Linked DNA regions of Medicago truncatula. The protein of the gene in region 3 binds, or shares a complex with, the protein of the main gene of each other region. Links are inferred from orthologs where the notes say so. Each region holds a gene or a part of one and is shown on either strand. Other genes may lie near its edges.

What was found.
Region 1: mediator of RNA polymerase II transcription subunit 14 (region 3) and mediator of RNA polymerase II transcription subunit 27 share a complex: the UniProt entries of both Arabidopsis thaliana proteins name them as parts of the mediator complex. The link is inferred for Medicago truncatula from reciprocal best matches to the Arabidopsis thaliana genes SWP and AT3G09180.
Region 2: mediator of RNA polymerase II transcription subunit 14 (region 3) and mediator of RNA polymerase II transcription subunit 23 share a complex: the UniProt entries of both Arabidopsis thaliana proteins name them as parts of the mediator complex. The link is inferred for Medicago truncatula from reciprocal best matches to the Arabidopsis thaliana genes SWP and AT1G23230.
Region 4: mediator of RNA polymerase II transcription subunit 14 (region 3) and probable mediator of RNA polymerase II transcription subunit 26b share a complex: the UniProt entries of both Arabidopsis thaliana proteins name them as parts of the mediator complex. The link is inferred for Medicago truncatula from reciprocal best matches to the Arabidopsis thaliana genes SWP and AT5G05140.

The regions. Positions count from the first base shown.
Region 1 is NC_053048.1:50,166,733-50,175,064, forward strand, and holds the start of mediator of RNA polymerase II transcription subunit 27, read left to right. Parts: upstream 1-4,796; 5' UTR 4,797-4,866; coding exon 4,867-5,143; intron 5,144-5,243; coding exon 5,244-5,409; intron 5,410-6,966; coding exon 6,967-7,414; intron 7,415-8,209; coding exon 8,210-8,269; intron 8,270-8,332. UniProt on the Arabidopsis thaliana protein: Component of the Mediator complex, a coactivator involved in the regulated transcription of nearly all RNA polymerase II-dependent genes.
Region 2 is NC_053042.1:11,310,128-11,318,245, forward strand, and holds the start of mediator of RNA polymerase II transcription subunit 23, read left to right. Parts: upstream 1-4,972; 5' UTR 4,973-5,099; coding exon 5,100-5,219; intron 5,220-5,292; coding exon 5,293-5,336; intron 5,337-5,459; coding exon 5,460-5,559; intron 5,560-6,306; coding exon 6,307-7,296; intron 7,297-8,088; coding exon 8,089-8,118. Other genes in the region: glucan endo-1,3-beta-glucosidase 3, read right to left, coding at 189-249. UniProt on the Arabidopsis thaliana protein: Component of the Mediator complex, a coactivator involved in the regulated transcription of nearly all RNA polymerase II-dependent genes.
Region 3 is NC_053048.1:54,600,572-54,609,146, forward strand, and holds the start of mediator of RNA polymerase II transcription subunit 14, read right to left. Parts: upstream 3,343-8,575; 5' UTR 3,105-3,342; coding exon 2,889-3,104; intron 2,576-2,888; coding exon 1,499-2,575; intron 985-1,498; coding exon 887-984; intron 796-886; coding exon 621-795; intron 487-620; coding exon 1-486. UniProt on the Arabidopsis thaliana protein: Component of the Mediator complex, a coactivator involved in the regulated transcription of nearly all RNA polymerase II-dependent genes.
Region 4 is NC_053048.1:41,746,380-41,754,534, forward strand, and holds the start of probable mediator of RNA polymerase II transcription subunit 26b, read right to left. Parts: upstream 3,101-8,155; 5' UTR 2,977-3,100; exon of another isoform or gene 2,724-2,976; intron 2,276-2,723; 5' UTR 2,234-2,275; coding exon 2,225-2,233; exon of another isoform or gene 2,124-2,224; coding exon 1,686-2,123; intron 1,472-1,685; coding exon 1,403-1,471; intron 1,300-1,402; coding exon 1,217-1,299; intron 851-1,216; coding exon 792-850; intron 679-791; coding exon 539-678; intron 429-538; coding exon 401-428; intron 286-400; coding exon 1-285. UniProt on the Arabidopsis thaliana protein: Component of the Mediator complex, a coactivator involved in the regulated transcription of nearly all RNA polymerase II-dependent genes.

The DNA.
Region 1 (8,332 bases), about 4.4 Mb from region 3:
TCTCTTCAACTCCCGTCGGCAACCTTTTGTTTTATTTTTTCAATACGCTTTTTTCATCCATTTTATTTTTTTTAACCGGTCCATTTAATTTTTTAATGAGGTTCCATTTAAGTTTATTATCTATTTTTTTAAGGAATTTTATTATCTTTTTATCACTTATATATTAATTTCGATATCTTTTGATCATCACAACCACGCAAATATTTGTATTCACGCTGTCAATGAATGACACCGAATATTTTTATTCCCTTTCTTCAACCACGGAAATACACACACACATTAGTGTTTAGAGTAATACTTTATGTTCCTCTTTCTGTTTTTTTTTTTTTTTGTTATGCTAATGCGTATAATTTTTGTTAGTGTTGTGTAATGCGTATAATTATTTTTATAAAATTTTGATTTTAATTAAAAGTACAAGTGTAGTTGCCTAAAAAAATTATACTTATATATAATTTACACATTTGTATTGTAACAAACTATGCATATCTTTTTCTTATTAAAAAAACTAAACATATCTTTTTCAATGACACCAGCAATGTAACAAATATAATATTATATATATAAATTCTTATCTTTTTTACCAACACTAAAAATATGGTATTCTTATAACAAAATTTGTTATAGAGTATAATTGGAAAAGAAAAAACCAATTATTCTCATTATATATACACACATATACATATTATAGATATGATTGAGCGTGACGAAGAAAGCAATATAAATGAAGAAATCAGTTCATATAATCCAGGAAGAGTGCAAGATGGAGGCTACATGAATAGAGTTAGAAATCAAATAGGAGTTGCGTTGATGGAGAGTAGAAATATTTGAGTTTGTGATGATTTATGTCTTTAAAAAAATGATTATTGTTTTTAATTTTCCAAACTACTATGATATTATTTATGTTATTATTTGAGCCTCCTTAAATTATTTATCCTATTCAAATATTTAACAAGTCGTTTATATGATGATACAAATTTGTATTCATGTTACACAAAATAAACGTCATTGAGTAAATATAGTATTGGTAAAAATATATATTTTATATTTTAAATATTTTTTCCCTTCAAAAAATATTTTAGACATTTTTTTATTAATTATGTTAATTCATAATGAATTCAAAGTTTTTTTATTTATAGACAATGCATAAATATATGCAAGGTCCCGGGTTCGAACCCCAAACACCACCAAAAAATAATAATTCAAAGTTTTGTACAATATTTTGCCAAATAGCTTTTAACTCAAAAATAACTTTAGAACTAAAAAAAAAATAAAGAAACCAAACAGCTTTAACCTTTTTCTTAAAGAGCTTTATTTTAACTTTGTTTTAAAGTAGCTTTTAGACCGAAAAAAAGTCTGGCCAAACGGTACCTAAAAGTGGGTAGTTACTTATAAATGTGGGTAGTTTTTTTCATTAAAAAATAAATTAAATTAAATTGATGAGGATAAAATTGGAAGAAAATATAAAAAGCTATGAGCTCCAAGCTCAAAAGCTACTTGAAATAGCTTCTCATAAAAAGTTATAAACTCATGAGAAAAGCTCGTTAACAAACACATCATATGGCTGTGTTTGGTAACACAAAAAAGCTAGCTTATAGCTTGTTGGATTAGCTTATAAGCTCGTTAGATGAAAATGTGGCGTGTTTGATAACAAGCTTTTTTCATGAGCTTATAGTGTTTTCTGAAAAGCTATTTCAAGTAGTTTTTTGGCCTCATTTGGATTGGCTTATTTTGAGCTTATGTGGGCTTATCTATTCCCATAAGCCTTTTTAAAGGTGTTTGGGTAAATAAATAAAAATAGCTTATCATAGTTTCATAAGCTGTTTATGGCAAATTTCAATAAGCCTAAATTTTCAGCTTACCCTCCGGCTTAACAAAGAACTTATGAATTTATGTAACCTCCTTCGATTCTCTCCGGATCCACTTTTCAAAACATATATTTTAATTATAATATTAGTTATCTTTGGCGGTGCATAGTAACAAAATTCCTATATACTTATCTTACTAAAGTAACACATGTAACTAAGATTTTTTTTTTTTTAAGGAATATTTTTATTATTTTTTTGTTACATAACAAAATGAAAACTGAATAAAAAAAACAAACTTAACTTGATATTTTTTTAAGGACGAATATTGATTATACTATATATATATAATTATAATTAATATATTATAATATTGTTTTTTACATCTTGATTAATTTTATCAAAAAAAGTCTTGATAATTGTGGTTCGATTCTCTGATATTTTTGTTAAATTAAAAATATTTAAAATTTCAATAATTGCTTATGTAATGTCACATCCAAACACTTCAATTTATGTAAATACTTTTTAGTGTACATATCGAAACATAAATAGCTTATCAAGTATAAGAGCTTATGATGTAAACTCTAATGCTATAAGCATCTATATAAGTTGTTTATCCAAACGGGGCCTTTAACTTATAGCTGGTAGCTTTTTATATTTTCTTCCAACTTTAACCCTATTAATTAAAATTAATTATTTTTTTAATTAAACAACTACCTATGTTCATCTTTATAACCGCCCCATTTTTCCCTTAAAAAAATACCACGTTTTTTTTAGGAGCACTTTATATATATATATTTTTTTTAAGGAAATGCTTTATATTTTGCTATAACTAACCTGCTCTACACCACACAAAAAATAACTAGCCTATTTTTTTTTAAAGGAAAAAATAACTAGTCTATTGTACGTTTTAAAATTTTATATATTCTAGCTCACATTTTGTTTCCACCTTTCTCTTATTTTTGGGATTCATAAAGCAGAGATCAAAATTGTCGGTGAATTTTTTTTAGGATTAAAGGTCGAAGAATAATTTTATGGAGACTAAGACCAAAAGTTTGAATATTTATAGGGACCAAAAACATATTTAACTATAATTAAAAATATTAAAAATAAATACATTACAAAAAAATGTGTGTGTCTATATGTATATTAAAAAAAATAAATATGTCATTTTATACTTATCAGTCACTTCAACAACTAATTTTACCAAACACATTATTTTTAATAAGCAAGCTTTTTAGCTATAAGTTATCAGCTATCAACTAGCTTTTCAGCTATCAACTAGTTTATCAGCTATTAGCTAGCTTATAACTTATTTTTACCAAACAGAGCCATAAGCTAAAAAGCTACTGGAAATAGATTCTAAAAAAAAGCTATAAACTCGTGAGAAAAGCTTCTTACCAAACACATCACGTTTTCATCCAACGAGCTTATAAACTAATCTAACAGAGATATAAGCTAACTTTTTTGTGTTACCAAACACAACCTTAGTATCTGAGCAAAAAAGGAGTTTACGTGGAATGAATCGTACATCGAAGGATGTTGGAAGTCCCTTCTTTTATAGACCAAAATGCAAAGATCCAACGAGTGATGCAAAAGGTGTTACATATTCTACAAAACATAATATCATGTCTCTCGAGGTCTCTCTTTGACGGAGAAGGAAAATGTATTTAGTGTTTGGGTTTTGTTGGACATGTTTATGAGCTTTAGCCGGTATTGGACTTATGTTTGAACCATGAGTTGTCGAACACAACCCTAGGGTGCGTTTGATTTGCTAAAAAATGAAGGACAAGACAGAACAACTCTAGTTGTCCAGTGTTTGATTTGTAAAACTGTTTCAGGTACAGGACAAACTGGAGGCAAGGGACAGGACAAAAACTCATATTTTTGTCCCTTACCAAACCACAACACAACTTTTTGTCCCACGTACAAGTTGTCTAAAACATCAAAATAGCATTTTGTCCCTCAAAAATCGTATAAAACAAAAAATTACTCAATGCCATAAAAAATTTGTCCTGTACTGTTCTGTCTTGTGTTGTACTGTTCTATCTTGTACTGCTCTATCTAGTACTTGCTGTTTTGCAAACCAAACACAATATTGAGAGAGCTTCTCATGTATCTAATTTTCTAATTTGTTGTAAACGCATATGTCAAATTTCCATATAACTTTTCTTTTTCATTGTTACATCCCATTTAAAAAAGAAATGCATAACATATGCAAGGTCTGGGGTTTAAACTTCGATCACCACAAAAAATAAAATAAAAATATTCAAACTGGATGTTTTATTTTCTATAGTTTTCGGCTTGAAAAATTAAGTCCTCTCAAAATAATGTATTTATTTTTTTCGTTAACTTTTTGATTTTCAAAGGGACGAGACTTGTAAGGTAAATAAAATTCGATCAAAAAGTGTTATGCAAAATGTAAACTCATATTCTCTAAAACGAGTGTAATTTTGTAACAAAAAAAAAAACGAGTGTAATTTTTTTTTAAATAACCTAATGACTGGAGCTCAGACATTTTAAATGTGGAGAAATGAGATGTTCGGGGTTTGAACCCTGATCGGCATATACTATGTATTGTTCATACCAGAGCTAATCTTATGGAGATAAAACAAACATAATTTAACTTAACACATTATACATATGTGTCAAATGAGTTGTGTTATTTGAACAACCATTTAGGTGACAACTTTGATGACAACCATAAATTTACAAAGAAAAAGAGGTATTGATACAAAACCAAAGCAATAGAGAGAGAAAGTAAAAATATAATACGAGTATGAGATAGAAAGTTGTCACAAAAATTGTTAAAAAATGGTTGTTCAAATATCATTTCTCGTGTCAAATATACTAATATCTATTTTTAGAGTTGTTTTTTTTAGGTGTTAACCGTACAAATTTATTTATGTCATAGTGAGTGAGTTTAAGCAGTGGTTACAGTTTGTATTATTTGATGGGCCTTTACCGTTAAACGAAGGCCCAATCCGAGTTGTACGAAAAAATACTAACCGAGGAGGATCCCACTATCTTTTTGCTACCATCCCCAGCACCAAAAACAGTGCAAATGCAACAAACTCAGCAAGCCACGGCGGCAACTTTCTCAACCCCCACTCCTCCTCCCTCCTCCACCGCCGAAGCACCTCCGAAGCAGGTTGCTCTAGCTATGGACAAACTCGGTCAAGCCGAACGTATCATCGCCGACATCCGAATTGGCGCTGATCGTCTCCTCGAAGCTCTATTCATCGCCGCCGGTCAACCTCATCAAGGCAATAAGCCTCTTCAAGTTTTCGTCAAAGAGAATGCTTCTATGCAACAGCATTTTAAAGACCTTCGATCCCTCGGTATGCGTTTTCAGTTTCGTTGCGTTTTGATTGATTTTGATTTCGCGATTAGGGTTTTGGTATCGTCGGTGTTGTTTGATTGATTTTTTCGATTTGATAGGAAAGGAGCTTGAAGAAGCTGGAGTTCTTAGTGAAACTGCACGGTCACGGAAGGATTTTTGGGGATTGCATATGCCGCTGGTTTGTCCAGATGGTGCCGTTGTTGCCTATGCTTGGAAACGACAACTCGCCGGTCAAGCTGGAGCTTCTGCCGTTGACAGGACTAGGTTTGTTTCCGCTCTTTTGGTTCCTTGTCAACATACCTAGCAGACACCGAACACGACTCAAACTCTTAAACGGTTGTAGTAATTTAAGAAAATAACATAATTGAATGTAATCACATGTGTCGGTACTACAAAGCAACTTACAATTTTCCCTTTTGTAGTTGGTTCATTTTGATGAATGTTATGGATAGGAATCAAATCCAAAGAAAAAAGAACCAATGGAATTAATCATTTTTAGTTAGAAAATATTCTTTTTCCTTTACGAAGATATGCGCATACTTAAGAGTTAAGAGGATATTTTAGTTCTTCGAATCGTAGTATTACCTCCGGAATTCATAACAAGCAGTAGTTATACATGATATGAGCTTTAGCCAAGTTATGCTGCCAGATAACTGCCTCATACGTGCCTGAGTTGTGTGGAAATACAATTAGTACAGGTATGCTAGGTTAGTGTTGTAGATTGTTAGATGCAAGGGCCAAGGTTATATGATAAGAACATGAATAACAATGCCACTTGGGGTGATGCGAGCTCACACATCATATTCAAGCTCTAGTCGGTCCAGTCACATGAATGTGTGCTGATCTTTTCAAGGAAGCACTTACCGGATTGATTATACATTTTTTTTTTTAAAATGAAAGAAATTGGCAAAATTACACAATTTGTCTCTTTAACTTCAAGTAATACTTTCGTCCTTTTATCTTTTTTTTTTTTTTTCCGACTTAATCCTTTATGTTATAAAATGTCATCATCATTATTTCTTTTTTTATTAAAAAAACTCACCAAACTCATAAACAAACCCATTTTATCTTCATCATACAATTCTAGAAATCCAAATTTAATTGAAAAAATCCCTTAAACCCATGAGTCCATTTTCTACATAACCTTAATCATTTATTCCCAACTCATCAACAAAATCAGCCATAACCAAAAGAAAAAAACAACCATAACCAAATTCCAACTCCGTACCCAAACAAAAGAAACAAAGAAAATCGAAGAAGAAAGGGTGAAAAAAGATGAAGATCCTTTTATGTTGTTGGAGTGCTAGGTTGATTGACGAGAGAGAAAATGAAGAAGATGAAGTTTTGATGAAATTTTGCATTTTTTGACGAAGTTGTGAGTTTTGTGATGATTTTTATGGATTTTTGATGAATTTTATGTATTTTGTTTTTAATCTAAAAAGGATAATGGTGTTTACATTTTATAACATAAAGGATTTAATAAAAAAAAAGATAATATAGGACGAAAGTATTAGCTGAAATTAAGTTAAGGGACAAATTGTGTAATTTTGCCAAAGAAATTCTATTAAGGAGCACGAATGGCCAACAAATAAGCCTATGCATGGTTGAAGTTTTGGAAAGAGAAAGCGAGAAAGGGTCTCATATTTTATTGGAATTAAGTAATATTAAATTAGGTTCTTATTTCAGATTTGATTCAGGTGGTTAAGTTTAGTCAGTAGATAATAAATACTCTTGGGATTTGTCGGATTTATCATACTGACTTCTCAATGCTGCTGACCCATGTTACATTAGCTGCTCACTTAGGCTTTTGAATGATTTCAGGTTAGCTCTCAAAGCTTTTACTGATCAGAAAAGACGTTTTTTCCCCCATCTTGATGATGGAGTTGAAGCTAATGAATCAGATTCAAAGAAACGTTGTGGGTCTGAAGAAGTCACATTTGAACCTAAGGAAGTAATGAGTTTTCTAAGGACGCTGCCAGATGTTCTGCAGTCCTTGGAAAAGGAAGTGCCAAATGTGAAAATTTCAACTTTTGAAAGGCTGGACTGGTTAAAATGTGCTTCCACACTCACCTCTTCACCAAATGAGAGTTCTGAGGAACATAACTATCGTGGTTCTAGTAAGCGAAAGTTAGGATCAATGGGAATGGTTGCTCCAGAGAAGGTTGCAGTCATAGAATTGCTGTGCCCTTCTATCTTCAGAGTTGTTATATCCTTGCATCCTGCTGGTTCCATTGATCCCGATGCTGTCGCTTTCTTTTCTCCAGATGAGGTATGTTTATATTTACCATGGTTTGTCTTTCCTAATATTCATTACGGGGTGTGAACTATTTGTTCTGGATATCGTATTATAAATAATGACTCGGCGTTAGTTTTGGGATGCTTATGTATCAGGTAACTGACAATCTCAGAAAATTAAGAAATTGAAAATGTGATTGTATTTACTCATCCAAGTCTAACTGTTTCCCAACCTCCACTCTGCATAACTGCCATGCATGCCTTGTAGCTTTCTCTCTCAATGACCATCTTGGCAGAAAGTTGCAACTCTTATCCCCTCTGAAATTTTTTGATCTAGTGCTTCACATCTCTTCTTTCTCCTCCCATAGACTTTAGTTATTTTGAATCATGGCGCCAGGCCTGTAACATCGTGGTTAAAAATATTTTCACTTTCCTCTCTTTTGAAGCCCTAGTTGATTGAAGTGTCGATTGGCTTTTTCTAAATGAAGCTTGTATGAATCCCATATCTAATTCAGCTGCCATACAACTTAAATTTCATCTTGCACTGTTAATTTTCACTGTTCTTTGGTTCTCTACTAATGGCTGTTTGAAGGGAGTTGACATTTCTGATTTACAGAGACTAGACAGAGTGGTTCCATATTTTTTGTTTCATTCTTTCATTTTGTTTTGTCCTTGTTTTGCAGGATATCTTTTTCCCTTGTTTTTTATGACTTATTTTATTTCTAATATAACTTATTTTTAATAATAGAAAGACTTAATTTGTTCATTTCTTATTTCATTGTAAATTTACTTGAATTTCACATCAATTTACTGTGTACTTCTTTAACAGAGTGGAAGCTATGTGCATGCAAGGGGGGTTTCAGTTCATCATGTGTATAGACATATTACGGTAATGGTCTCTGTTGCTAGCTTCTTATATCCTTTGAGTGACTGTTTGAAGTGTTCTGATTAT
Region 2 (8,118 bases), on a different chromosome or scaffold from region 3:
CAACCAGCAAGGTTGTGCATTTACACAGTTACCCTTAACATATTCATCATTTTTTTTTTCTAAACATAAATTTATGAACTGCTAAAGTAATCAAATAATGTCATGTTTATTTAATGAAACTATGAAAACCATAGAAATGAAAAGGAGAAAAAATATGGAAAAATAATAATAAAATATTTAAGAGTTACCTCCATGAAAAGATAAAGAGATTGAAAGAAGGTAAAAAAGAAGCAGCACAGCAATAGCCATTAAAGCTTCTTGTTCCTTAGAAAAAGGCACTATGTGGAAAGAACAGTGCCTCAAACTTTATACTATAAACCCAGAAACATGAAACAAAGTAGAGAGGAGCTGATGAAAGAGTTGGAATTTTGAAGGGAGGGAAAAACAAAAGAAAGTTAGTGAGAGAGAGAGAGAGAGAGAGAGAGAGAGATAGATGGGAACTAAACAAGGGTGTAGGGACTTTTGTGAAGTGAGAGGAGAGGCTTTGGTCCTTTTTGTGTCTGGTCAAACTGAAAAGGTGTTAGCTTATGATTTATATTTTGAAGGGTCTCTCAAATATGTGTAAATATTGCACATTATAAAACAACAAAAGTGAATTTTTTTTTATTGAAAAACAATAATTATTTATTAAAGAAATACATATTTAATATTAAATGTATAAATTTTAATATAAATTTACTTTTTTGAACTTATAAATATGTACAAATTTTTATATGTTAGAAAAAACATATTTAAATATGGATTATGATTTAAGACACATGTTAACGTTTCTATAAAAAAAAAAAAAACAAATATAAAACTTTAATCTCTTGAGAAATAAATTAGCACATTTTTTGATACAAATTTTTTATCTTTACGTGTGTCCGGTTAACTTTTCTTTGAATATTTATTATTATAGATATTTATTCTTTTTTTTTTATTAACAAATTACTAATACGAAGTTTTCACTCACGTTAATGATTAATATATATGTAACCAAAAAAAATAGTGATTAATATATCTAATCTTGTTTAAGACGGTAAGACATACGATATAACTTCTCATTTTTATATTTTTTTACACACCAGAGATCAAATATATTATCATTTGATTAAAAATTTAAATTTTGTTATTTATTAAGAAACATAAAATTTATTGATAACTGTCTTTTTCTATTTGAAGAGGCTTATTTATTTTGTTTGGTCAGGTAGTCTATTGACTAGAATTCACCTTATAAAGTAAATAAGTGGGGTGTCCGGGGTTCGAACTCCAACCTCTACATATAATAATGTATTGTTTTACCAACTGAGCTATGTTCACAGGACTTTGAAGAGGCTTATTGATAACTGTCTTAGTATGACATTGTTTAAACTTTAAAGAACCAAAATAAATAATTATTGTATAAATAATAATATAATTATTACTTTAAAAAGTTTTTAATTGATATTTTCTTTTATGCATTTTTTAAACAATACAAGAGTTGGAGTATTGTTAAGAAGACTTATATTTATTTATTTATAGGATTTATGAATGAGTGTTTGTGTCAGGAATCCAATATAACGTCTGAGATAGACCAGGGCTATAATTCATTCCAGGACAATTTGTTCAGCCTTTACTCTATCAATGTTTGATTCAGTGTTTGTATGTATGTACTACTACTAGGTGCTGTAGTGCTAGTAAATAGATACCTTCGTACTTTATTATCATAATTTTCAACTAATTCAGAGAAATTATTAAACTGAAAAGTAAATTAAACTAAATAAAACATTATTGTATTATTATCATTATTTTTGTGGTGAAACATTATAGTACTATTTTTTTAGTGCTGTAAACATTACAGTATTATACAACTAAACACAAGTATATCTCAAAAACACTACAGAATAGAAAAGTAGACAGAGTTACGTGTTATTGTCGGGCTTTCTTTCCTTAATCCATGTTGTTAATTAGGTGGTGGTGTGCGTGTGCGGGAATAATTAAAGAGTTCATTTATTTCAACATAAAAATACTTATAGTATTAATCAAATCATTAGATTTAAGTGACTACAAATTGTTCGGAAGAAATTCAGTTTGATTTTTTAAAACAACTTTTGGTCAGGTTTATTTATCTCTCAACCCAATTTCAGATTTGTATGGCTTTATGACGTTATACCAATATAATGTAAGGATTTTGATGTTTAAATATCATTATTCACAATTAAAATGATGTCGTTGTAAGGATTTATCACTTATTTAAAAAAAAAAAAACAAAAAGACAATGGTGTCACACTCTATATTGAGTTGGAGAGGTATATTATGTTGGTACAATTTATGAGAGATAGCGATTGGTGTGATACGAGACATACGAAGTTGCTACTCTCTCACATGCTGGACATGCCTGTATCTTACTAGTTGCTTGCGACTTGTTTGGAGTTATTTTCATTTCTCATAAAATAATTGAGAATTTTGTTTTTGTACCACAAAAATTGAGAATTTCATTAACAATATATTTCATCAATCTCATGAATAGAGTACTCTATTTCTTCTAAGAGATAGAGAGTTTCTTAACCATAAAGAATCTTAAATCAATTTTTTTTTAATAGAAGAAATAATTTTCACTAACAATTCTTATGAGACCATTTTATAAGTTTTACTACTTTCTTTTTCCATTGTGACCTCAATATTATCAACCAAGGTGATTCAGACATCATTAAGTCAATTTATAGGGAATATTAAACGTAATAAAGATTTTTCTATGATGTTTATATTGTCGATATTAAGGAGCATTTAATGTATTTCCGTGAGCTTAGCTCAGTTGGTAGGGATATTGCATATTATATGCAGGGGCTGAGGTTCGAACCCCAGACACTCCACTTCTCCACAATTTAATTGTGTGAGCTCTAGCCACTAGGCTACTTGACCCAAAAAAAAAAGAGCACTTAATGCAATTGAAGAAAATTCTAAGAAAAGTTTAGTTCTACTTTGAATGCCACATCCTTATAGAAAGATGGTGATGACACTAAGAAAGACTCCTTCGATGATGAGAAGATTGGATTATTTATGAGCCGATACGATACAATCAATATGCCAAGAAAAATGAGTCGAAGCGTAGTGACAAAAATCTCATGAAGTTTCGGAATGCAAAAACCAAAGGAGGTGAACTTAAGAAGGAAGAAAATGTTCTTAATTGCTGCTATTGGTGCGGGGGTCCGGGCACTTAAGAAACAAATTTCTATACTGTTACAAAGTGAACTTCTTTGAAGGAAAACATGATCTGAAATTGGACAGGCCACAAAAACAAATTATAATATGTAAAGAGAAAATATATGTTGTGATAAATATTAAGCACAAAAGTTGTTTTTTAAGGAAGTATCAAACACAGAGTTGATAATCAATAAATTAAATTACATATCTTAAAATTTAAAATACTTCTCCATCCGATGTGAGTGACTTGAAACCATCAATAATAATTTCATAATTAATATCTGTAGTAATTTTTCTTTCAGTAAAAATTGTCATGTTATGTTTAGAAACTCATCTTAAATAATTCTAGATCATGTTATCTAAATTATAAAGCAATACTAAGAGTTGTATCAACTAGAAAAGACGGCAACAATATTCCGATGAAGAGAGTGAAAGATATGGAGAAAAAAAAAAGAAAGGCGTGAATGTATCAATATATATGACATAAACATGTGAGAACCCGGTTAAATCACCATCACTTTTGTTTACGGTGGTCGGTGGAGTGGAACGCACACGTGAGAAGAAAAAGGTCGGTGAGTCGCAATTAATTTGTATTAAAAATTTAGGGGTGTTTTAGTAATTTCTTCTATATAACAAACTTTTATTTTTCTTTTGGCGGTGGGTCGTGGCCCAATTACGCCCATTAAGAGCTCTGCCACTGCCAATGTGTCAACCACATGTAGAGTTTGCACTTTGGAGACAAGGAAAGTTACGGCAAAAATGAACTATTTACGGGTATGTGTTACATTAATCAACAATTAGTGTCTATGGTATTTGACAATAGAGCAATGAACTCCTTCATTTCTTTCAATTGCTTTTGACGATTCATGCTAAAATTATCATCAATGTTTTAACCCATGGTGGTAACCACAACTATTAAAGGTAGGATTGAGACTACTTTAATTTGTGAGAAATGCCCTATCACCGTTTTTGAACAGTTCATCCTAGTTGATATTATTAGACAATGTTCATAAGATTATTCGATGCCTTTTTATTAGAGGACAAAGTTTTCTTTTAATGCTTAGAGGGGTTACTTAAACTGAATAATAAATGAGTGATATACTACTATACTAGTAGTTAATGAATGAGTTTAAAGATTATTTTCTTTATAACGAAATTACTTCTTTACCACTGGAAAGGGAGAAGATTTTATATAGACTTGGTTCCAAGAGCAGAACCTATTTCCATTGCATCTTATCTGATGCCTCTATTTGAACCAAAGGAACTTAAGACACAATTGGAAGATCTCATTCATAAACACTTCATTAGACCCAATATGTCTCCTTATGGTGCACCAGTTATGTCGATCAAAAAGAGGGATGATAGGATGCAATTATGTGTCAACCTAACAAACTAACAATACAAATAAATATATGTTACGACAGATTGATGATCAGTTGAATCAATTTAGAGGAGCATCGATCTTTTAAAAGATTGATCTACGCTCAAAGTATCATCAAATAAAAATAAAAAACTCATACATACCAATACCAAAGACAACATTCAAGATCTCTTACGATCATGTGAATTCTCGATTTTCCAACCATATCTTGATAGATTCGTGGTGGTCTTCATCAATGTTATTATAATCTACATAACATAATTTAATTAGATGCATGCTTAAAAAGATCTTTTTTTTTGGTTACATTACATGCTTAAAAAGATCTGTATACGATAAAAAAAAATATACGGTGCAAATTATTACCGAAGATATAAAAAAATACGATAAAAGAAGTAGTTATTAATGGTAGTTATTTGTATTTGACTTACACATAGCCAAAATCGGATTTAACCGATGCGATACAGTGACACTTGACTTTCAACGTTCCTAGCTTCCGCTACAACACTCCAAAGCTTAAACCCAGAAACAAAAACGAAAATTGAATGAAAGCGTGAAAATGGATCAATCTCAAAATCAAAGATCAATTACAACAACAACATCACAATCGCGTTCTCTTCAATTCCACCCAGCGCGTGTTCCAATTCTCGATCTCTTCAACCTCTACTTAGGACTTGGAGTAAGAATTTTCTTTCCATTCTCTTTCTTTCCTCGATATTTTCATCTTCCTCATTTTCTTTTTGTTTCTTCAGAGAAACAGTCGTAACAAACCTGACGACTCAATCCGTGAACCACCGTAAGTTCACTCACTGCAACAATGCTCAATTCTCGTTAATCCTTTATTTTTTGCTTTGGTTTTTTAGTTTAGAGAATTTGTTTAGGGTTTTGTAATGTGTTTTTGTTGAAAATTTGATTTCAGGAACAAAACGCAGAAACGTGTGCACGCGATTAACAGAGAGCTTCCACCGCCGAATGAGCAATTCATTGTTGATTTTGAGCAGCTTCAGAGTCAGTTTCCTGTGAGTTTTTTCTCTTCAAATTACGGATTTTCGCTTTCTTGTTTAAGTGATGTGAAAGCCTGCAAAGATGGAATTGTTGATTTAGGGCATGTTTAGATTGAAATATTTGAGCTTATCTACTGTCATAATGTTTGGACCGACTTATTTGAGCTAATCTACTGACATGAGCACTTGTGAGACGGTTTGGGAGAACTGGTGAAAACAACTTATAGCTTATACGAAAACAATTTAACTAGTTTTATCTTTTGTCAAGGAGATAGCTTATGCATATGAGCTTTATTATGATAAGAGATTGTGCTATAAGCTGCAAATTATGTTGTTTATCCAAACAAGAACTACTTGGGACAGCTTATGGAAACAACTGATGACATTTATTTAATCTTTTGACATATAAATAACTTATACATAAACACTTATATGATAAACGCTTAATTAAACTCTTTATCGAAACAGGGACTTATTCTTCAAAACTGTAGTTGCTGACTAAATCATCAATATTTTGAAAATCTTCAATCATATTTAATGCATGTTTGGATGACTGGTGACACTGGAAAATCAAAGTGAGCCATCGTGATTCTGTGAGACTACAAAGTGCAGTGTTTGCCAAAATCACCACAAGTCACTGTGATTTTGCCAATCTCTCCTCTTATGCAAACCAAACATTCACTTAGTGGTCATGGACAATGTTTATGCGTTTCTGTTGTCATTGTTGTATTTATTTATGTTAATGGTGCATTTTTATATCAGGACCATGAGCAATTGCGTTCTGTGACAGAAGCTATTCTTATACCGCTGGTCGTACAGTGTAGTGGTCATGGGCCACGGTCAGATTTTCTGCTTTTTGTTTTACGGAGCTTGTGCGGTATTGGGTGCATTAACTGGGACACCTTTCTTCCGGCCCTTGTTTCTTCAGTTTCTTCAGCAGAAATACCGGTTGGTCAAACGAGTCAAGCAGTGTCAACAGTTACCTCCTCTAGCTTATCACAGTCGGGAATGCTGCCTCCGCCAAGCACAATTGCTAATTCTTCTAATTTTCAGTCATCAAATCCCGCATCTCCATTGACTTCTGTCCATACTATTGGCTCCCCTGCACAGTCATCTATTGAGCCGTTGTCTTGTGCAGCTCTATCTCCTGTAAAATCATCTGATATTTCCTCGGCTGGACAACAGTCTAAACAAAGAGGTAGCCCATCTGTTAGAAATAATGATATCAGTTACAGTAGCCTTCGCCAGCTATGTTGCAAGATTATTTTAACTGGTCTTGAGTTCAGTTTGAAACCCATGACATATGCCGAAATCTTCAACCATATGCTGAACTGGCTGGTGAATTGGGACCAGGGACAACAAGGAGTTGATGAATCTGATAATCAAAAGTCATGGAGACCTGACAATGCCTTAGTTGCATGGCTACATAGTTGCTTGGATGTGATCTGGCTTTTAGTTGACGAGGGAAAATGTCGGGTTCCCTTTTATGAATTATTACGCAGTGATTTGCAATTCATGGAGAATATACCTGATGATGAAGCATTATTTACACTTATCTTGGAGATCCACAGGAGACGAGATATGATGGCTATGCACATGCAAATGTTAGACCAGCATCTACATTGCCCTACATTTGGGACTCATCGGATCCTGAATCAGACAACACCTACTATTTCAGGTGAAGGAATAGCACATTTGCGCCTATCACCAATCTCATATTTAAGTGTGCTTGGGGAACCATTGAACGGAGAGGTAAAAAATCTCATTTCTATTTCAAGAAACTCAATATTGATGAATGAGACTGTACTTGAATGCTTGGATACTATCATATTCTTCAGCAAACTAGATATTTACAATACCCTTTTTCATCTCTTGTTAAAAATGCAAAATAACGACCGTCTTAAAATCAATACTACCTGTACTAAGATTTTTGCTATGAAAGTGAGGCAAAATGGTTAGCCAAGTAATCACTTGATCAACCAAGCCTTCACAGCACGTCAAATAAAAAGTTGACTGGAAAGTTGTTTAAAGTAGGGAATCAATTTCATAATTCTGAAAGATTTAGTTTGAGTTATTAATGATTTATTTATGCGGAACATTTGATGTAGCTGTTCAGAACTGTTTATAAAAATGATTGAGCTAGTAAATCTAGTTACCCTGTTTGCTTCGGTTTTGGGCATCAATAAGTTAAATATGATCGTCACGTTTCCACTTACATAACAATCTGTATATATGCACTGTGTTTCTGGCTTTTTCCAGATCTACCATACAGATAGAATATTAGTGGCATGGCATTTCGTCACTGTTTATTTCATTAATTTTCATTAAATATATCTATCGATATAATTGATTCTAATAGACAGTCCATTAATAAATTTTCTAATATTCATTGATTTCTCCAATTTGAATGTCAACTATTATTTAATTTTTTTTAGTTTGTCCAATATTCTGCAGTCTTATTCTATTCTGATGGAATGCATGTATTTGAGTTTGATCATAATTTGTCTCGAGTTGATAAACTAGTGTCTTGATGTTTGTTTGTAGGATATTGCAATCTCTATTCAGAAGGGAAGT
Region 3 (8,575 bases):
TGAAGAAATATTTTGAACAGGGAATGGTGGCGCAGAAGACCCTTTCTCAAGTCCAAAAACATCGTCAACCAGTGATGAAAAACCTGACGGATGATGGCCTCTAGCAGTGTGCATGGAATTCTGAAGGCGGGTATCAGAATAGAGCCCATGCCCAGACATTTGATTTGGACAGGCAGCATTGGGCAAAATGGAATGCAACTTTGCCCAGTCCACCAGGCTTAAATTCATTTCATCTTCAAGCACCTGCATCTGTGCTATATCAATTTTCTTGAACCGCAGCACCTGATTAAGGTCACCAAATATTTTGTCTTTTCCAGATGGATCTGGTTCAGTCTCTAACAACTTAAACAAGGGTTTAAAATTTTTATCAAGTTGCATAAGCAGGAAGTAAGAGCTTCCACAGTCTGGAAATCCCATCATCAGCACAGTTGAACCATTCGACAAGGTTTTGGGTGTTTTGACTGTGTTCAATCCATGCTCATAAACCTGCAAGGGTGGCCCATAATCCATAAATCTTAGGGAAGCTGGTGATCTGAATAAAAGTAAGCTAAAAGACAGTCCAAACTGATTTAGAGATTTTTCTTTGAAACACAAATGGAGAGAGTAACAAGAAAATGTACCTCAAGGCCCAAAACCCTTCCAATAGATGCAAATAAGTGCAACATACTTTTGCTTCTCAAGCTTAGGAAGACTTCAGCTGCAGTAATAGATCCCTGATTTAAAGCTTCTTCACATTCTAACAAGGCAGAAGAAACAACTATATTTTGTGATGATTGAAGAAGGAATCGGCCATTCCTGAATAAAAAACAGGGAAATTGGTTTGAAAATGCCTAGATTAAAATGCAAGAGATTAGGGAAAAAAAAACAAGTGAGTGAAATAAGGTACCTGATACTAATTCCAAGAGTAAAAAAAGAAGAGCCATAAGCACGCACGTGCAGTACCTCGTTCCCCTCAGAATCCTTATCGCATCTCTTATTATCCTTCTACAGACAGAACATATCTTAATTTTAAAACCCATCAAGATTAAATAAAGGTATGCATAAGATTACCCACAGAAAATCCATAAGGTGCCATAAATGAAAACATAAAATTGCAACAGCAGTTAGCATGGCATAGATTATTGGTCAAGTGGTTAACAGTATTGCACTGAAAAACACGTGCATATCAACAAAGTAAACCCCAAACCATTGGCTGGTAATGCAGATACAAGATACCAGATTCACAGTTTACAAAACTACAAACATTTCCTGCATGAGCAATTATGAAGCAAAGTAATTGCAACGCTAGTATGCTATAATGCTAAACAAGAAAGAAAATAACAATGATCAGAACTTTCAGAATTAGAACTCTAGTAGAGTTCTATGAAACGAAAAGAATGTGAAGTAAAACCTCTAAAACTGTGACAACAAACAAGGACATTAAAAACCCCTCAAAAGAGTCGTTTAACAGAAAGCCCAATGCAAATTACCACTTTAAAATTTCTTCAATAAATCTAACCTGCTTATATTCAATATCAGGTTCACCCATATGAGACTGGAGCACAACGTCATCTGCTGTTCTAAAGACCTGAACATTTTTTATCAGTTCTGTTTTAATTTCTAATAGCCGAGTATATCTATTGCAACAAATAGCTCTTAATAGCAGCCTCTCTACATCAATACAATTCTGGTCTAAGAAAAACTCTGCCTCCTTGCCAGCTAACGGATCTATGACAAAGATACTGTGGGTGCACTTTATCTGAAGGTCTGGTCCAGGTTCAATTTTTATAAATGGACAAGCACCTGAATCAGACACACCAGCATTTTTGTCAAAATCTAACCAGTAAATAATTTTTAACCCCGGAGTTCGTAGACCAGACGAATCAGATTCCCCGTCAGGATTCTGCACAGAACTTGAACTTGCCCCATGACCAGAGCCACCATCAGATATGAGCTCAAACCGAATTGCATCTTTCCATCTTCCCTGTCGAAGGAATTGCACTTGCCTTATTACTGTGTCCATGACAAGTGCAACACACAGCTCGTGAAGAACTGTGTACAATATTGAAAATGGGTTTTCGGCCGCTGCCATTCGTCTCTCTAGATCATCTCCAAGCACATGTCGCCGTAGTTCTTCCAGTTTCACAGTTTTATTTTTTTCACCGACAAGCAGCTCCAAATGCAATATTCTCCACAAGGACATGTGTCCTCGGTACCCAAGTGTCAATAAAACCTGAAACTCTCCATTCACCCTAACCATTGCAGTGCCATCGGAAACTTTTATATCAGAAATTTCTTTGGGAAGAGAAACTTCAAGCAATTTGGACCGAACAAGCATGTCCAGCTTCTTCAAAGCAGGCTTTTGCTTATCTTCGGTCAAAGCATACTGAGAACCAACATCTTCAATACACTTTGGCAAACGCTCGTAACTCCCCGTGAGAAGAATTTCAATGGCGGATGGAACATCATAAACCGGAGCCCGAGCTTGCTGAAGCCCCTCGTGCATGAAAAACAACGAATCCGCAGCCTGAGTAAAACACATGTCGTGATTCGAAACAGTTGAAGACAGTTGCTGACAGTGCTGTATCAAAGGAACCTGAAAAGCCACAAATTATTAGCAAATCATCGCATATACAAACTCTCTTTCTCTTACTCTAACACTAAATGTTATCATTATCATAATCATATCATACATGACCAACACAATTTTATTTTTAATTTTTAATAACAAATATTATTAAAAGAAGATCAGGACTCGTAAGAGCCCACCAACACAATCATCATATCATACATAAATTCATAACATAACACACACACATTACATAACAATTAGTAACACAATAAACAATAACAAAGATGAAATTCAATAACATTGGGATTAAAAATAGAAATGAGATGAAAAAATTGACCTGTTGGCACCATTTGGAGAGGACATTGAGACGGATCATACGTTGCTGAGTCTTGGTAAGAAATTTGAGCATGCTAATCTTCTTATCGGAATCGGATAATTCGGTGGACCTGCATTTATCAACAAGCTCTTTAAGCGAATTGTATGAATCTTGAGCGGCACGAGTAACGAGGGTGGATAACTCCACCGTCTGTTGCCCTAACTCCGCCGTAGCCATTGATTTCGATTGTTCAATTCTAGGGTTCTTCTTGATCTGTTAATGCATCGAAATCAAATTAGGGTTTTAGGTCAAAAAGACAACGGTTAATTTTTGAACCGTTGTCAATTAGGAGCAAAGGAAAGACGAAGAAGAAGAAGAAGAACGCGCTCTTTCGTGATTCCGCACTCTCTCTCTTCTCTCTCTCTCTCTCTCGCTTTCTCACTCTATCTCTGGGCTTGTGTCTCACGGTGCTCTCTCATGTTTCTCTCTCCTTTTATATATTACTTTATTTGAACAAATACTTGGATTTTCTTACACCTTTTTTTTTTTCTTCTCAATGTGTTTTAGATTTTAGATTTTGATGTTGATAGCTAATGTTATTTGGTGCAACTTTTTTATGGAACATGTGTTAAAGAATTTTATTTTATTTTTTTAAAATGCGTTAAAGAATAATTTTATTTTTTTTTTGGTCTTAGATGAAGTGGTAATCCACTGAAAATAAACTCACACACAACTGTGAGATCCCGGGTTCGAACCCGGGTCATGACGTCCGGCCTTGCAATTTCGGCCTTGCAATGGCGTTAAAGAATAATTAATTATTGGTTATATGGTGATCACATTTTATACAAATGTTGTAAGTAAGATAAATAAGGTAAATATTAACGTTTTTATAAGTTTTTAATTTCATTTTTCTATACGAGTTTACTTATCTTTTTAGTTCTTTGATTACAACGGTGGCTTCCACGTGATCACGTGTTAGAGGGATATTACTAGAAGAGATAAGGTTAATTTTATAGTTTATTGCAGTTTTTGTATTATTTTTTTATTGGTGAAGATTTTTACTATATGAGTTTAATAATATTTGTTTCTCTAAGATTTGTCATTTTTAATTTGTTAAGTTTGGCTTTAAGGTTGTCATCAAACCCTTGACAGCCTTTGTCAAACATTGTTGTTGTCCAACTCATCGATTCGATAATAAGGTTTCCTTTTCGATGGTAAGTATGTGATAATTAGCATCCAGAACAATGAATTTAATTACCTGAGTCAGTGTTTTTTCAATGCTAAACGTGAATCGTGGAATCTAAGTAATATTGTTTCTTTCAATTCAACATATTAACTCCTTATGATCTTCGTCTTTATTAAGAACCAAATCCAACTTTTTGACTTGTTTTTCTAATGACATTATCAAGCAAACAACCAACTAGAAGAAGAAGTCACCTAGTTTTGCAAGTATTTTGACTATTATAATCAAAATTAATGATTTTCATGAGTTATTATTAAAAGCAATATTATAATTTTTTTAGACTATTCAAAATATTTTTTGAAAAGAAAAATCAAACTACATCAAGAGGAATAAAACATTCGGGGGATTCATAGTTCAAGATAGTGGGGACAAATTGGTACTAACGCGACATTTGTATGATTGAAAGAAGTCATCTAATTTTGCAAGAAGTCATCTAATTTTGCAAGAAAGTCTTCATTTGCATGTATTTTGACCGTTATAGTCAAAAATTAATGATTTTCATGAGTTATTAAAAGCAATATTTTAATTTTCTTAGATTATTCAAAATATTTTTTGAAAAGAAAGATCAAACTACAAAGGTTGGTCGAGAGGAATAAAACATTTGGGGGATTCATAGTTCAATATAGTGGGGACAAATTGGTACTGACGCGACATTTGTATGATTGAAAGAAGACAACAATGCGTTATATATATATTGCTCGATTATGTCTTTTTGTCCTTTCGTTTGAGTTAAGATCTCTCTATTTTGGATCTCATCCATTTATTCCATTTGAAGATATAAAGACACAATAAAATTTGTAAATAATTAATGATAATGGAACCCACTTGTTGGTAGAACCTACAATTTATGTTTTGTTTATATCTCTTACCAAATTGCAATCTTCATTTATAAGATAGGATCCAAACTCCTCTTATTTATATGTTTATTTTCAAATTTAGACATTCCTTTTTAATATCATTCCTTAAATAAGGTTACTTTTACGATTTTGGAAACCTTCTTTTTATATATATTTTTCTAAAATTACTATGAAACTTTTTCCTTGAGTTTACTCCTCTTCAATGTATTAGATTCACCACTTTTTACTTGTTACACAACAAATTTGAGGTCAACACCAAGCGTGCTAGACAATTATTAAACAATGTCAAATCTTTCCTTATTGTCGTTAAACTCGTCAATTCAAATCTTATGGTTTCCTTCTCGATGATGAGAATATTTGAATCGGCATCTTGAACAATACATTTAAATTTGTTGACTTGGATGATCCCCAAAATGACGTTTATTCCTTGTTGAACAATAATCTTGTAATCCAGACATCATTATTTGTTTCAATTAAACATATTTGTGATTTTCAACTTTATTTAGAACCTATCTCGATTATGTGATAACTTGTTTTCTCAATAATTGTGTCAAGATGACCGATCAATGAGTTTTTGTAGTTGGCAAACATGTGGATTAACACCGACTATTTGATGTTGGTTAATGCTTTCAACTCCAATTTTGTTGTACTTTGGCCTTTGAGGATCCGTTGGAGTAATTGCATGGTTATGACTAGAATGATTAATTCATCTTGTACTCATATTCAAGGGAGAGAAACTTGACAGCGGATGCGTTGACCAAAAATGGTCAAAGCTTGCCCTTGTTTTTTTCTTCTCAATATTGGAGTAATTATTCTCCTTTTCTTGCTGCTTTTCTCCGGAGAGATAGCATTCATTTGCCTTTCCCGAGAAAAACATTTATGTAATCTTGTTTTATAAAGGGTACAAGCTCCCTCTCGGTGTATTGATCTTTTGTGCTTTGATAAAAATAAAAAAATAAAAAGATTAATAGGCTTTTACCCCCCTGTTATATGGGGGTCTTTTGGTATACTCCCCTATAAAAAAAAACTTGGAGATTCTTCCTTGTAAAATGAAGATTTTTTGGTTTGCACCCCTGAACCAATCTGACTGTGCACATAAGCTGACATGGGACGCTGACTGTATAAAATTGAATATTTGGCATGTTGACTTGGCTTTTTTATTTTTTTTCCAATTTTTTAATTCCATTAGAATTTTTTTATTAAACTAGTTACAAACCCGTGCTTCGCACGGGTTCAATAACGTTTTTGATAAAAAAAAAAAAAAAAATCGAAAGAAGATATGTTAAAACGACGGAACATTATAATTCATCATAAAATATGTATGGGTTGGTTCCAAAGCATTATAAAGATCTGCTGTAGAAAAAGGGCATGTTCTATTTTGTTCAAAAGATTAGGAAAACAACATTATAATTAACATGATACTAATTTGAACCAATGAAGGAACCAATAATGTGCAGATTAACGTTACATAATAGTTAGGTTTATAAAAGAGACTCCAAGTGTCAAAGACTAACTAAAAAGAGATTTTTGCCAATATTTACATCAGACAAAATGAAAAGAACAAATGACATCCCAAAGTCAAAATAGTTTACGATTACAGTCCAAAGCGATACGTCAAAATAGTAGAAGTTCAAATAGTTCAGCAGCAAATATCTACTTTAGAACAACTCGAACGTGCAAGTTCTTCGGTGACTTTTCGAGACCAAATATGAGCTTACCACCTTCTATCATCACACGTTCTCTGCAGAAATTGATCCATAGCCCACCCAAGTATTTTTCATAGCTTGCTCTTTCGGCGGTAATGAGACGACACTTATACTTTCTCTGCATGCGAATATAGTTACATATAATTTATAAAATAAAGGTAGCTTAACTGATTTAAGCTAAAGAAAATGTATCATGACTTCTAATTTATCTTCCTATTATCTTCCTATAAAGTCTAGATAAATACATGTATGTGCATTATATGAACCCCGTTGACCAATTAACATTGTTGAAACAAATGGAAATTAAGCATCACTCCCGCATGTGCATCTATAGCTAGCACCATTTGACATTGATGTCTTCGAACATTTGGTGCAACTCTTATAATACCATCCAAACTGGTTAGGATTGAATTTAGTTGTTTTCCAAATAGTGATGAAGTATGTATCCTAATCCAAATTATGCACATGAAATAAAGAATAATGCAATATATATTTTTAACTTGTGCATCAAAAAACTCAAAGCATGTTCGTGCATAAAAAAAGCAGACCATGACTAAGTTTATAAATTCAGTAATTGGCCTAACCTGAGGCAGATTGAAAAAATCGTTGTACAAAGTACGTTGAGAAGAAGCCGAACTCTAACTTAAGTTATGACTGATACTTTGACTCTGAGCTTGAGAAGTGTTAAGGTCACGACAACAATTCAAGAAACATGGTCAAAAAACAATCAAATCAGATTGTGAAATAATAAGTTACTCTAATACTATATTTTGAAATCATAATGCAAACTTACTAAGTCTTAAACTTCTCAACAACCGGATAATGTAGGTTGATGAGCAGCCTCGAACCTGACCAATTGTTACATATATTTGGGTTGCCAATGACTACAAAATGGAAGAACTCAAGGTAAATAGATGGTAAATGATCAAGCTACGGAGTATTTTTCCCATAGTGTTACATCAACTATATTCTCACTGCATAAGGAAAGACATCTTTCAGGTCATTATCAAACTTATACAAAATTCTATCATCTGATGTTGACAAATTAGAAAATAATACCTTTTATCTTTCAACACAATGTTCGTACACGGTTTCTTTCTAGTCCCAATTGGTGTTGTCTTGACAATCTCATGAAGAAGCCCGATGATTTCTTAAAAAAAATATTACATCTATAATAATATTATAATCGGAGAAAACAAAGAAATAAATTAAAGCACATAACTATATCATATAAAATGTCAGATTTGAATTTTCCATCTTGAATTTCCTTAAATGACTTAAAACGAAATTCATGAGTAAGAACGTTAGTTAACTTGTCATACTTCTGCACCTTTGTATCAGAACCAAAAACAACCCTAAAGAGATTAAATACAATGTCATTATCAAACACATGACAATTATACAAAGTATAAGTCTTGTTTTCCTCGATCAAAGTCATTCAATGCTCCAATTCTCTATACCGAGTTATTACATGAACTCGATCACCCTAAATTCGAGAAAGAAACCAAAAAATGTAAATAAATCAAAATGTACACTAATAAGTAACATTGATAAATCATAAATGAAATTACAACAAATCTTAACCAACTCATCTAATCTTTGCATCACAAATAATGAGCTTCATATGTTGATTCTCATTACTACCATTTACAATCCAAGAATCCAGCACTCCAAATCCTATTTTCCAAATGTCCAAATCATTTTTTAGATCCTTAATGTAGTCATAATCCCTTGACATCGAAAGTCCTATATAAAGATACAATAATACATCATTTAATTTTATTCCCTTTGTTCATTCTGTTATCGAAAGAAGCTAACATATTCCTATGTGATCAATTTTTGTATCATCAAATCAACCTGATCTTAAATGCACAAATTTCTGAATCATCAACTTTTTGGACG
Region 4 (8,155 bases), about 13 Mb from region 3:
TAGGGACAGTACTGTTTTCAATTTTCGGCGGCATCTTTGGCTCCACATTGGCTTTTCGCTGAATGTTCGAGTTTAACGGTCTTGCACGGCCAGTATCAGCAGCCATTGGTTTATTAGGCCTAGCTGCAGCCTCGTTTTTCTTCATGTGCTGACTCTTGTTGTCCTTGGCAGTGACGGCCGTTTCATTAGATGCCGGAAAATTCCTCTTGTCCTTAGTTTGAGTGCCAAGAGCTGGCTTTCTTCCGTTGTCACGGTTCTTGTTGAATGGTGCACTCTTTCGAATATCTGAAAAAACATTCCCCATTTACAATCATCAATTTAAGACGAGGGGAATTTAGACACAGAACCGTAACAACGAAAGCTAGGTAGACTAAACATATGAAATGCAAATTCAACTCACTTCCATCGTCATCCATGCCATCAAAGAACTTTACATCGTCCAGATATATACAACACAAGGAAAAACCAAAATTCAGTTTCATATATACAAGCCTTTGAAATGTAAGTTTGAGAAGGGAAAAAGGACAAGTATATATACCTGTGAGAGTTCAATCGTACCGGTTGGGGCAACAAAGAAAGCCCCTTCGTCCAAAGGAGGTGAAGGAAGTCCTCCTTCTTCCTCTTCTTCATTTTCAACAACAGATGGATTTCTGGAGTCCGGTGTGCCTTCTTCTGAAGCTACAAACATTCAATAGCATTTTTCCGACATGAATTAATTTTGAAATCGAATAAGAAACCAGCATAGTTGTACTCATCAATACCACACTAATAAGGTCGATAAAAAATTCTACCTGCGACAGGTGTGGTTGTCGTCGCCTTCACCCATGCATTGACCAGTTCTTTCCATCCACTAGAAATTAAAAAACATTAAACAAGTTTAGAATTTGAGTTTGTTCGGTATCCAATTGAAAACATTAACAGATTTGGCATCTCAACTATTACAATGATATGAATCAAAACAATAATGGCCAAGTCATTCACCTATCTAAAGCATGTCATCAATGTTAACATCAAGGACACATGACTAACTAAGAACATGGTTCAAATTAACTAAGGCTTATAACTTGTGACCATGATTATGGAATCGGTGCAACAGTCTGATTAGTTAAGGATAATGATAGTGAATTGCATATTGAACAACACAGCGGCCATGATTATAAAATAAACCACAATCCGCAGACGAGAAACTGAAATCCATGAAAAAACTAAACCATACTCTATGAGAGTCCGTGCTAGTTGACGGATATCCTTCGATCCATGCTTTCTCAGATGATTCACAGCCTTTCCAATTTCAGTTGACTGCACAATTTAATTTCTGATTGTTAAGAGAACAATCTTAAAAAAAGTACTAGAGAAACAACACAAAGTTCCCCCAAAGCTACTAAGAAAGATCAATTCTAACCTTCAGAAGATCGACACAGAGTTGCATCAGTTGAAGCCTCCTCAGAGACTCAAACAGCACCGAGTCAGACTGTAGCAACATGAAACAAGCAATCACTAATCAGTGATCATAAGACACAAATGAATTCAACCTTCAAACACGAACAAAAATGCCATCCAAAAAACACCATATCAAGACGTATCCTTTCCAAGAATCACATCACACATTCATGAAAATTATAATTCAAAGAATCAAGAACTAATGCATCAGTATGCAAACAACAAAGAAAAAGAAAAGACTATACCTCATCTTCATGGTTATTGAGAATCTCTTTAATCCTCGTAACCTCAGCAACAAGTTGTGATTGCTCTTCAAGTTCATCAGTTAAAGCTTCAGCTTCTCCAAAGCTGTAATTGCTAATAGGGTTAGCATCCATCACTCCATTTTCTTCCCTACTGCAATCCACCTTGCTCTCTTTGCTAGCACCCTCTCTAACAGAACTTCTCTTGCAAAGTTCATCACCATTATCATCATCAGGCACAGACAATTCAACCTTCTCACACCCCTTACAACGATTCAGCATAACAGAAAACAATCTCTCAGCAATTCCATCTCTCCTAGACTTAAACTCCTTTGGACAATCAGAAGCAGCAACAACAATTGCATGGTCAATTATATCGAAAATATCCGAATTCGATGAACGAAAGTAACTCCTCCACTGATCAAGTGACTCTGACTTCATCTTCAATCCCAAAACAACAAAAAATTCAATCTTTCAACAGCTAGATCCAAATATGTTATAATAAACAATCACCCACGATTCAAAACTCAATTTTTTCTCACTTGGGTCATTGAAAATCGGTTTGATTCTTCTTCAGGTATTGATCTTGAACCCTGAATAAAACAATGACGAAAGAATGATCAAAAGGGTGAATATTTTAGTCTGAAAGAATGATAATCAAGAATCAAATTCTTGGAAGTTTGTAAATTTATTAACTTTAATTTAAATTTGATATTCTTGGGTATCCCATTTAGGAAAATTTGATTGGATCAATGTTCGGTAAGAAAATTGGATATGATGATGATATGGTTTTGGAACAGATTCGGTAACAAGAAACAACATAAACCAGAAACAAGAAAACAACATAACACGCATATATGATAACAAATTACTACGTTGTGTGTTATGTAAAAAATATTGTATTGTTTCACATTTTTCTGGTGTGAATAAAAACCAAAAACCTCAAAAAGAAGAAATAACCTTTTTGTTTTGTTTTTTAAGGTACAAAAAAACATCTAAAAAAAAAAAAAAGAAGCGAAATTTAAGGAAAAAATAAGACACCTGAAAAATCTAACAAGAAGAAACTGCAGATTCAGTGTAACAAAAACAAAAACATAATCATAATAATATCTATCTACCTATGTAGATTGTAACAGCTTTTTTTAATGTATACGTAATGTTGCACTATGATGGTATGGTATATGAATAGTCCAATACCGCGTGCGTATGAAAAACTTGGTACTTTTGTTTCTCTTCCAACAAGAAGAAGTACTTTTAGAGAGAGAAAAAAGGGTTTTATGAATTGTGATGATACCTTTTGGTTGTGTTTTGACTTTGATCGAAACAAAATTTGGTTTGGAGAGAAAGATTAGAAAAAGAGCAACAGAAGATGTGGAGAAAGAGAAGTGCTAAGTTCTGTCTCTTTGTGCTACTATTTTTTTATTTCATATAATATATCTAGGGTATTTTTTGGACTGATTTTTCTTAAAGAAATTTACCTATATTTTGGGCCCATAAAAAATATAAGAATATACCTCCCTAAAAAAAAAAAAATTATATTATATTTCTTATCAAAAAACAATTTATATTATATTTATGATATTGTTGATATACTCCGTAATCGAAAAAGATAAACATATTTTGTTATGTTTGTTGTAATTTAAGAGTCACAAATATTTATATCTATATAATTTCTTCAAAACAAATATTTATACTTATATTTTTAATCAAAATCAAACTCTTATATAAAACACTTCTTTATAATCTATAAATTTTAACACAATAAAAAGAGCACTTATATTTGTAAGCAAAATCAAACTCTTACATAAAACACTCGTTTATAATATATAAATTCTAACACAATAAAAAGAGCACCTATATTTTTAATCAAAATCAAACTCTTATATGAAACACTTATTTATAATCTTATAAATTTTAACACAATAAAAAGAGCATAATGTTTGTCGATTCATTACTTATATATAATTTTTCTCGTTATTATTTTGTATTTTTTTAATTTGACTAGTTTTATATTCTATTTTCTATTCAACAGGTTTTTTTTTTCAAGTTTTATCATTATTATTTTGACAAGAATGGTTCAATTTTATATTCAACGGATTGTTTCCATATAATCTTATAATTAATATGGTGTTTCCATATAAATAAAAATTTACCATACAAATGATAAAATTAAAGATAAGATTATAAAACTCACGTCTAATAGATATTTGTGGAGATATTTTACGAACTAGTTTAAAAAATAGCATAATCGGTTATAAAAAACAACATAATCGATAAACATACACTTTATTAATGAATCAAATCATTTACGGACGACAATACGAAAAAGGTATTTCCACATATGAAGGCATAATCAAGTAATTTGATTAAATTTATGTTTAAGTTTTTCTTTAGACGGAATGTTCGTGTTTGTTAAATCTAATAACGAGTAATTTGATTGAATTTATGTGTAAGTTTTCCTTTTGATGAAATGTTCTTGTAAGTTAAATCTAATAACGAGTAATTTGATTGAATTTATGTGTAATTTTTCCTTTTGACGGAATATTCGCATAAGTTAAATCTAATAAAAATGACTTAATTTTTTTTCCGGAATAAAAATGATTTAATTTAAGACTTTGTATACAAGAATTCAACTAAATCAAACAATAATAACATATTTTTAAGTTACTCCCTAAAAATATCTCTAACAAAATATATTAGTTGATTTGATTATTTACTTTCTTAAAATGTCTCTAAAGATAACTAATTGAATTTGATTGAATTCTTGAGTAAAAAAGATATACACGGAATATTCATAAAAAACAATAATCTCTCAAATAAAAAAATATTATAAGAAAGTAGGTAGTGAATGTGGTGCGATATAGATAGATAGGGCCGAGAAAGCGGTTCTGAAGGAACGAGTTATGTGGGGCCCTAGACTCGGTGCTTAAATACAACCAAGTTTTTGTGAGTTTTCTTTATTTTAATCTCATATTCTTCGAACATATCCAAATCTTTCTGTTTAGATATAATTATTAGCAAAAGATTTTACTCTATCTTTTCTTATGCATAGTTTTATTTTTTTTTAAGTTTATTCGGTATAAATTAAAAAATTACTTTGATTGATAACCAAGTTTTAAATATAATTTTACCTTTTTTACTCATTCACTCATTTTATCATTTCTTCCATATAACTAATGGAATGACGAGTATTACCATTTTTTAAGTATGTGTTTGTCTGTTTATATTTTTTATTGTATGAAAAATCATAAATTTATAAATCAAAAAGTCAGAAGAAGATAAAATCATAAATTTGAAACTTAAAAATTCATAAAAAAAAGATCGAAAAGACAAAATTAAAACAAAAATAAATAATGGATCTAACTATTATCCGAAATTAAGTTGATGATTCATAAAGTATCAATTCAATAATAGGAGTTTTATTTTATGACTTAAGGGACCAAGTTAAAATTTCAGGTAATTTTTGCTAATACATAATTTTATTCAAGACCAAAAATATTTTTTTGGTAAAATAACACAATTAATTTGAAATTGAATAATGGTTTATTTTTAATATTATTTTAATTGTGCACATAATTATAGTCAAAGACTAAAATAGTTAATATTATTATAACAAACAAAAGATGATATGACCACAAATTTTATAAACAACAAATAAACTTCCTTTTTATTAAAGAAAAAGATTTAGAGCGAGAGGAAGACGCTCGGTTTAAGGTAAAAGAAGATCTTTTGACCAAAAGAACAACTACAAATATATTTATATTTATCTCTCTTTAAAGATACTAATAAGGCTCAAACCTGAAACGTTTAAACATATCTAAAAAATCTTCCTTCCTCACATAAAAATTGTTTTATTTAATTATTTGACACCGCTTAAAAAAAATGTATAAATAAAAAAAATCTTTTAATCGGGAACTTCATTCGTAATAAACTATAACAGAAATAATACTCTGAATTAAAAAGTATCATTAAAATTCCATCACTAAGTTAATGATTATATTAATTTTTGGGATCAAATTTGAGACCTTCTTTTTAAAACTTATTCAATGTTCTTTAGTTCTCTTATCAAGCTACCTTCACGAGTTACTAACTATTCAACTTGCATAACTAGATAACTAACTACCTCAAAATATACGTACATATTACATGGACAAATTTTAATAAAAATGAAAGTAAATAATTGGTTAAATTTAACATGTTCAATTTTTATTTTTTGAGTAAATCACCAATTAACTACCTCAAAATATACGTACATATTACTATTCAATTAATGAAGGTTTTGAGCTAAAAAACTATGGAAGAGTGAGTATCATCAAAAGAAAAAGCTGTGGGTGATGGACACATAAAAATGGAAATGGGTAGGTGGTGGTCAAGAAGTTGACGTGTTGTTATTTGGAAGTGAGAGACTATGGTATGGTGGTGGCGGCGACACATCAAGTTCACTGCACCGTCACACATGATTTTGTGATACAAACTTTGTACATTTATTTTTTCTTTCGCACTGATTTTTGATCTATTAAAGGTGGCGACTAATCTGGCTCGTGCATAGAGGCATGTGCACTGATCAAGTGTTATTTTTCTTAGGAATTGAATTCGATATTTCTCGGATACGTCAATCGAAGAAGCTTCTTGCCACTGAAGTCCAAATAATTTGGTCCATACATTTTTTTCTTTACGGTATGGAGGCTATATTTATGCACTATAATTGTGAAGAAGTAAAAAAACTTTGTACATTTTTTTTATACACTCCGGAAAATGCTTAGAAGATTTAAGAACATTATTAAGGTCTGTTTGATGTTCAGGATATGATACAGGTAAGATATGATATAAAGTTAGATGGAGATAAAATATGATAATGACATGATAAACATTAATCTTATCATGTGTTTGATGCGCACATGATAACAAACAAGACATCATTATAATTAAATTAAAAAATTGCTCTCATAATTAATTAAATATTATAAAAATGGCATGTTATTAATTATAATAGAAAATACATGCAATCATTATTTTAAAAATAACAATATTATAAAAATGGCAGAATATCAATATAATAAATAAATAAGGAATGATCTTTTTTATAAATGTTTGTAACTTTTAAAATATGAAATCTTACACTACAACATTTTTAAAGAAAAAGTTGTTTACGGATATAATTAGAATACTAAAAACACGAGTATTGGGACAAGACGAAGTGATTAATTATAAAACAGTTAGTTCATTTCGCAAAGTAAATGGTACACGAAAGAGATTTCCATAAAAGAGAGGTGGGTCACTTGGACCTCTTAAATGCTAAGATTTTCCTCGCCAGAATCTCTCATATGTGACATTTTAAGAGCCTTCGAAACAATATCGATAAGAGCCTTCGAAAAGCATGAGGAATCAAGTTGGTAATTAGATAATTAATTATTTTCAAAACGTCTTACATATCAGCCCTACGCGTAAAAATATATTGAAAATACATTATTGTGCACATTAAAAATGTAAAATTGAACGAAATTGTGATTGATTTATTTTTGCTACATATATTCAGATTGCTTCACAAAATATATAAAAAAAACAATCTTTTATTTTAAATCAGACGTGTAAATATATTGAACGAAATTTTTTCTTCAAATTAAAGTCGTAAAATTTAAAACAATTTTTTTTATAAAGAAAGAAATTTTCATTGATTTATTCTTTTTTTCATATATTCAGATTTGGTCCGAAAATATATTGAACAAAAAAATTATTTCAAACCAACAAGTGTAGATATACTGTCTCAAAATTTTGAACAAAAAAGTGGAAATATACTGTCTCAAAATATATTGAACAAAAAAATTATTTCAAATAATCCTTAAAAAAAATTATTTCAAATAAAAAAGTGTAAATATATTGAGAAAAAAAAATTCTTCAAATTAAAAAGTGTAAATATATTAAAAAAAAAAATCTTCAAATAGAAAAATGTAAATATATTGTCTCAGAATATGGTGAGCAAAAATTTTCACCAAATTAAAAGTGTAAAATTGAACAAAATTTTCATCGATTTACTTTTACTACGCATATCCAGATAGGTTCCCAAAATACATCGAACAAATTTGTTTACTTCAAAGTAAAAAGTAAACAAATATTAGAAGGATAGAACAAAACAATTACATAATTCCATTGGCTTCCACGCAGTGATTTTGTAGCTGAATTGATTAACATATTTTTATACACAATCTTTATAAGAATTAAAAACAAACACTTGATTAAACAAAATTAAGCAAAGAGATGCATCCGACTTTCAAACGTATCACCATATAATTATAACATACTAGCATAGATCATATTTGAATTAATGATTCAATTAACGAGGCAATTATGTTATTGCTATGCGACGGACTGGTAAATATTAGAAGGATGGAATCTGATTATAAAACGACTCCGGTGGAGCGTTGACGGCGTATTGGCATAGCATCGTGAATCCGTCTGCGATTGCCATGGTTGCG